Linked DNA regions of Schizosaccharomyces pombe. The gene in region 1 interacts genetically with each later gene. Each region holds a gene or a part of one and is shown in the gene's direction. Other genes may lie near its edges.

The links.
Region 2: mutations in SPOM_SPBC1348.01 (region 1) and erv46 together harm fitness more than expected from each alone (negative genetic interaction), as found in Schizosaccharomyces pombe (one large-scale study listed by BioGRID).

The regions. Positions count from the first base shown.
Region 1 is NC_003423.3:3,545-7,382, forward strand, and holds SPOM_SPBC1348.01 (uncharacterized protein), read left to right. Parts: upstream 1-1,906; coding exon 1,907-2,396; intron 2,397-2,454; coding exon 2,455-2,774; 3' UTR 2,775-3,285; downstream 3,286-3,838.
Region 2 is NC_003424.3:211,193-215,336, reverse strand, and holds erv46 (COPII-coated vesicle-associated protein Erv46), read left to right. Parts: upstream 1-1,813; 5' UTR 1,814-2,130; coding exon 2,131-3,303; 3' UTR 3,304-3,623; downstream 3,624-4,144.

The DNA.
Region 1 (3,838 bases):
GATAGATTCAGTCCACCAGTAGTACACAAAGTCAGCTGCCGCTTCAGTTGGAAGGAATAACAATCAATATGTCGATTCTGTGAATCTTTCCTTAGTAGGATGACTGAATGCTTTACCGGAATTAAAGGGACTGAACATTTTTTAACTGCTGTATTAAATACTACTTTTACATATCGCTGTCAATCTTGCAACAGTTACGCTATACTATTAAGACAATGAAGTTAATGCTTCTCTTAATCCTTATAAGTTTTCATTTTTCTTCATTTATCGTAGGTATTACCCTCTATGCTACATTTCCAATTTAAACTTTACACAATTAACTTGGGTTGTTTTTAATTGTTTTAAAACTTCAAGTGTTGATCTTTATTATGGACAATGGGATGCAATATTAACACCCAGATCCTCTATCACTAACACATACTCTACGCATTCCAGCAGAACCAGGTATAACGCCTGATACTTCAGGGTGGGTGTTTGCTCTTGATTGAGAACAATCATCGATAATAAGCCAAAACATCACATGCTAGATCTCAGTAAGACACGCTTTTACTACCAAAGGTTTGTATAACATTACCCCCCCCAATCACCTCTATAGTCGGCTGCTAACGTGGCTCCACCTCGGGCTCCAACAGCATTGGCTCCAGTGTCACAGTCATATGTGCTTGCCATATTTGTACTATGACATTGTGTGGTGTATCGGTCTCGCTTCTTCAGCAGTGGTAATCCATTAAGCACATCATCTGTCAAGTTGATTATCCATGTAGCATCATCCGCAGATTGAGTTACCAAAGTTCTGAGTAGAACTATCCTGGAAATCTCTCCGTCATTATAAAGTTCATGGAGATCAATCAATAACTCGTGAGTAACGTTATTAGTTGAATTGCTTATAAGCGGATTATCGATATATATATGGTTCATTAATGCAGTCATCTTGCTAGCATTATATAATTCATTTACGATATATCTGAATTCATAGTGCTGTGTAGTGTTATCTGGAGGAAATTGGGCTACCCAGATTACAGCTGGAGCGTCTTCGAGGTCAGTTGGAAAGCAACTGATTAGTGTAACCAACGATAGATAGCAACGTAACTAATAATAGCAATCTCATCGGTAAAATATTAAAAAGAGGATGAAGATAGTTCCAAATTTCTATGATATTGACGTTCTCTTGATCGCTATATATTACTAAGCCTCAGAGCATACAAACACCTACTTACTGCGGAACGAAAATAAGGGTTATAGGATAATCCTTTGTATGATCCCCTGGATTAAGCATAATCTCCTATACAATGTATGTAGGTCAACAATACTACTAAATACTACTACGTTGAATAACACCATACGTCAAGTGTTCTATATTTGCTCTATTAACTTTCCACTCTGAGTTATAGAGATAGACATATTACTAATTATGCAGGATATTTAGAAAAATTTTTAAATGCTATAAATTGAGAAAAACTGAAAAATAAAGAACGAGGTTCAGCAATAAGCTACAGCTACTTTAGTGATTAGGTAACAATTTAATTCATATATAAAAATATCAATAGCAGATGCTACTTGTATTACTGTGTACTGTAATATACTAGGTCACAAGGAAAACACATCGTACTTAAACGTATCGTTAAACAGATACCAAACTGCGTAGCTGTTAAATTGTGAAAAGAAAAAAGTTGTAAGGATTACGAGATGCCAACATCATAATGCTTTTCCTAAATAAATGAGACACCTCAGAACGTAAAACATTCACCATTTTGGTTTTTTTTTTTTAATTTTCTCGTTTATGGCTTAAAATATTTTAGTATATTTTCTTTTTTATTTTCCATAAACCACTCTTTTTAATTTTACTTTGGGGAAAAATACTAGTGAATCAGAAGTCATCAAATTACAGTGCTGTCGTTCTATTCCAATGTCAAATCCAGAAAGCTTGAAAAAACAGGTTGAACCTCCTGGTTACAATGAGTTATTTATGGTGGAAGATGTTTGTAATGTGGACCTAGAGCAGGGACTTGATTTGTGTAAGCCTGAAAAGGTAAACAAACAATCTCAACGATCTCGACAATCCCGACAATCCCTCTTTACCAACACCATTAAGCCTCAAAAAGACAAGATGAATATTAAAACAAATAAAATAAAAGAGTTTTTAAATGACCTTTTTACTGAATTTTCTAAATTCCACAATAGCTATTATCCTGATGGAAGGATTTCTACCCGCAGTAATTTTCGTTGGCCCTTGCTTATTATTTGGTCTATTATCATTGTATTCGCAGTAGACAAAAAGTTCGAAGTCCAAAAGTTTCTTTCAATTTGGATAAATGAAAATCGGTTCTACAGTGAAATTTGGGTGCCTATTGCTATTTACGTTTGTTTGCTTGTTTTAATGTTACTTAGTTTAATTTGTATGTTTCCTTTATAGTGATGCTTTTTTTCTTTTTTTTTGCTAATAATTTAAAATAGTCTTTGCAGAGTTTGCGGTACTTGCTTTACGGGTGACCGGTGTGATTATAGCAGTCTTGGGTATGATTATAGCAGTCTTGGGAATGATTATAGCAGCCCTGGGTGCAACTATAACTGGCCTTTTGTATTTTGGTCATTGGGCTCTTTACAAACTTGTAATATTGTCTTTAGGCTTTAAAATTGTGACACCAGGAGACGTCTGTGTTTCTAACACTCTTCCTACACATAACGGAGAAACAGCATTACATTCAGAAACAACAGTTGGTTCTGATATTGAACAAATAGAACTACAAAATATGCCTACTCCTGTGAAAAAATAATTTTCTTTATCGTTTTCATGATCATATAGAATATAACTATTCTTAACAATGTTCGAATTGACTGTCCTGTCCAAATCATGCACATAAGGTGCGTTCGTTATGAATTTCAATTATGGAACCAAACCAAATTATGGTTTTAATTAAGATATTATCACTTAATGTAACTAATGTTTTTATCTTTCGTTTCATAATTATTCAAATACTAAAAATGACTTTTTTATATATTTTTTTTTTAAAAGCTTAAAATATATTATATTAAATAAAAAATTTCGAATTGAACCAATTTGGACTCCCACTTGTGTTTCAAAAACTCCATTTCATCTACTTTAACCCAAAATTCAGCGTCATATTCACTACAGGAAAGGAGTTTTATTCATTATCTGTTAGTAGAAACAATTTGGTTTCAATTTTTTATGACGAAAATGCTTCGAGTTAATTTAAGGCTTTGTTTGAAATATAATTCGTTTAGTGATTATTCGCTTAGTGATTATAGATATCGTTCTAATTTTCAAATTACAAAATACTAAACAGCTTTATTTGAATAAACAGTAAAAGATTCTAAATCTTTGGACTACTTTTAAATGGTTGACAGACCAGAAAAATTTGAGAAAGAAAGTTTTATAACAAATCGTCTTATTATCTATCTTGCCTAAAAGGAGTGATCAACCTTGAATGACAGAATTTATTTTAGGTCGATAATGGTTGGACGGTGGTGTGGTGTATGCTTGCTAAGCGAAAATATTGCAGGACATAAGTTAGACGAATTGAATTTTCTACGTTATAATCTGTTCTGGCGCTTGCTCGCAATCGTAAAAACAAACTATTGAAATTAAAAAAAAAAAAAAAAGATTGGTAGTGTACATGCTGAATTTCAATCTATGCTTTAAATTAATAATTGCTAAATTCAAAAAAAAACGAATGCTATCTCTTTATCCACTGGTCATTACCAGTTTTTTTTTTTTTTGCTATATTTTTCTTTTAAAAAGCTTCTGTATTCTCGGGATATTACCAACGGCGTTATTAACTCAATCATCGAATGAAGTACGAGTACTAACGGAATAGAA
Region 2 (4,144 bases), on another chromosome or scaffold:
TGGATGAAGGAAACGGTCACAATATCGCTTCGGAATGTAGATACACAGCAGTAGCAATGCAATTGTACACAAATTCAGTAAAATATGTAAAGTCCGCCTGGACGGGGGAATGCGAAAATAAGGCAGTGTGTAATCGCCGAAATTGATTAGCAAGCAAGTAATTGTCAGTGAATCCATTAGTCAACGAAAATGCAAGTGGGAAAAAAATAATTGAATGAATGGATCCATTCATTCAATTTATTATTTATCCCTTAAAAGAAAAAACTCTTTTGCTTATGATGTCCAATTGTTTACAAAAGCATCGGTGGAAATAAAAGCGCAAGTGCAGTATAACAAAACATACAAGCATAACCAACCTTACAAGCGCTGTGTGTCTTGCCTTGCAAAACCTCTATTGGGATGTACACCTAAGAAGGACTCTACTTAGGAAGGTGAAGGTTGTGGGGGTTTGGGTTCTTTGGGGGCCACTTCAGGTTATCCTAGATAAAAATATTCGGTGCTCTCTGTTGATGATTTGATGATGATTGCCATAAGTTCAATCAAGCTCCGAAATTCCATACCACTGGATCGCCAAGTGCAGTACATGAGGATAGATAGATTGGAAGCGACGGTCGAGTAGATATCGGATGGCCGAATGGGCAGAGAGTGTTGGTCGATAAAAAAGGTGGAGGAACCTCCAACTAGTACATTTACGAAAGGGTTATGATGGGAATGAGCAAAAGGTGGTCTCTCCTTGCAGGCAAAGAATGAGGAGGAAAAGGAGTAACGAGAGGTTCCTCTGACATTTGTGTGGATATGCACTCATGTGATTACAATTACCCTTTCCTAAACCCGATCTGTGCTTACACTTCGTATTGTGAATGGTTGTGAATTACTTAGGCATACATAGTGCACCATGAGAAGTCAGCGAAACAAGGTTGGCCCAATATGGAGAACAGCCATACGCACGAGTGTGTTGGAGCGTCTTTTCTGCGATTGCTGACCAAATAATGAATTAAGCTTTTTTTAGGATGGCGAAAAATGGGGAAAAGACATAGGATAATGACTGATGTACATCAAGGGAAACTCATCAAATCGCACAAGTTGCCGGATCCTGTGTCTCCCAAATACCCATTTACAAGGCATCCTTGTACATCTTTCTTGTTAGTTGCGCATCATAACGAAACCAGCGGTGCTAGTATACAAGGTATTTGGTTAAACAGTGTTGGCGACGGTGATGCTTGAAATTGAGTCATACATTGATGGTATCCGTATTAGACATGCTAAAAAAAAAAATTTGTAGTAGCGTTGCGTTTATCCCATAGTGTTTGGTTTAGGTTTATATTAGAGAAGCTTGGATTCCGCTTATTCAACAAGCGCTTATTCGAAAGTGCTTAGATCGCATAAGCGCTTATTGAATAAACTGTGTAAACTCAATAGGTAGTTCGGATTGTGCTTGCTAAATAGTACTTGGATTGTTTTTTAGTCAATAATACTTAGATTTTGTTTAAAGACAATAATACCTGGAACGTATACGCACTTATACTTGAACTATATTTACTCAATCACACTGAGTTGTACTTAATAACACTGAGTTTTCCTTTCAAATTACTATTTGTCTTCTCTTTTTTAGTTAATTGATCTACTTTTTCCTCGGCGTTTACATTAAACTCCACGTTAAAACTGAAACGCCTTTTAGGCTCCCTTAGAATACATTCCATTTGAACCCATATATATCTGATTTTTCAATAAACAATCATAATCCCTGTCAAACTAATTCAATCCCTCTTTGCACCTCTGTCTATTAACCTACTTCTAGTCCTGCGCTTGGGTTGACCCTCAACGTATACTTTCCCCGACTACCTCAAGCCCCCTTAGTCAAGTTGTTTCGACAATTTCCAAATATTTCATTCTGGGAATGATCGTTTTTCAAGTTCAAGCACATTATTTTATATAAGATTTGGTGGTCAGCATTTCACAAAGCTCTAACATAACCGTGCATAGTTGGAACCACTGAGGTGGGCCCTTCTAATCCTTTAATCCAAAAAAAGTATTTTCAAGTTGGTTCAAAGAACTGCTTCTCCATATAATCGTTTTTTTCCTCTGTATTATTGTTACAAAAACGTATCTATCGACCGATAGTTTCAAAAAATGCAATTCCGTTCACCCCTTAGGCGTTTTGATGCCTTTCAAAAAACTGTCGAAGATGCTCGCATAAAAACTGCTAGTGGCGGTCTTATAACACTCGTTTCCGGACTTATTGTCATTTTTATTGTTCTCATGGAATGGATCAATTACAGGCGAGTCATCGCAGTCCATGAAATCATCGTCAATCCCTCACATGGCGATCGAATGGAAATCAATTTTAACATCACCTTCCCCCGTATCCCTTGTCAAATACTTACTGTCGATGTCTTGGATGTCAGTGGTGAATTCCAGCGTGACATCCACCATACCGTTTCTAAAACGAGGTTGAGCCCTTCGGGCGAAATTATAAGCGTTGATGATTTGGATATTGGAAATCAACAATCTATTTCTGACGACGGAGCCGCTGAATGTGGTGATTGTTATGGGGCAGCCGACTTTGCTCCTGAAGATACCCCAGGTTGTTGCAATACCTGTGATGCCGTTCGAGATGCGTACGGTAAGGCACACTGGCGAATTGGTGACGTTGATGCCTTTAAACAGTGTAAAGATGAAAACTTTAAGGAGCTTTATGAAGCTCAAAAGGTCGAAGGTTGTAACTTGGCTGGTCAGCTCTCCGTCAATCGAATGGCCGGTAATTTCCACATTGCTCCTGGACGATCTACTCAAAACGGAAATCAGCATGTTCATGATACACGTGACTACATTAATGAACTCGATTTGCATGACATGAGTCACTCCATCCATCATCTTAGTTTCGGCCCTCCTTTAGATGCGTCTGTCCACTATTCCAATCCTTTAGATGGAACAGTGAAAAAGGTAAGCACTGCCGATTATCGCTACGAATATTTTATTAAGTGCGTTTCCTACCAATTCATGCCTTTGTCTAAGAGCACACTTCCCATAGACACAAACAAATATGCTGTCACACAGCATGAACGTTCTATTCGTGGCGGTCGTGAAGAAAAAGTCCCTACCCATGTTAACTTTCATGGCGGAATCCCTGGTGTATGGTTTCAATTTGATATTAGTCCTATGCGTGTTATTGAACGTCAAGTACGTGGCAATACCTTTGGTGGATTTTTGAGTAATGTTTTAGCTTTGCTTGGGGGCTGCGTTACACTTGCTTCGTTTGTTGATAGAGGCTATTATGAGGTTCAAAAGTTAAAGAAAAATTGATCAGATTGTTTATGCACTAAATTTGTTTTGTTTTGTTTTTCGTTCTTTTCTTTTCTTCTGTTTGGTCCTATCGATCAATGTAAATACCATCGGTTTCCATGGCAAGTGCCTGATTTGTAACTTTAGATACTCTATTTCCTATACTATTCCAAATTGATACCACTTGATATTTCATGACTCGCTTATCAATCACAAATTGCTTTTAGCCTCGTTTAGCAAACAACCACTCGCTATATTCACATTGAAGAGCATACGAACCACGCACTTTCTTTCCCTACATCTCAATTCATTTCTTTTAATGTTAAACTCGTCTTCTTTCTAATTAAACATACAAAGATAAAGATCTTTCTATCTGGTGTATTCAATTTTACAAGGACATATAGTATTAGATATATTCGCTTTCCGAACCTAAAGTATTGTCTTGATTCTATAGCATTTTAAATAAAAAGGAAATTAAAATGAATTGAATTGTCTTAAAGTATTAATAAAAATAAGTATTATTTGTAGTACGAGTGATCAAAATTTTTTTAGTTTTTTTTTAGTGCACTCCAAGGAAGATCGTGCCAAGCGGAATGGTATGAGTTGTCATATCCATACACGCTCTTCTACCATAAGCATAACCCCGAGACCGACAATCATACGTCTTAGAAGCCACAAGGAAAACCGATCGTTTCCATTGGAAACCAATTTCCCTTTTCCAAATACATACATTTACAATTAGCGCTCTTTTGTACGGTGTGATCCTATAGAAACGGTTTCGAAAAATAGCAAACCACAATTTGCTGCTTTGGATAAATCACTTTTAGAAAAGCTTTCGATTTACGTGTGAAAACGGTTTTAG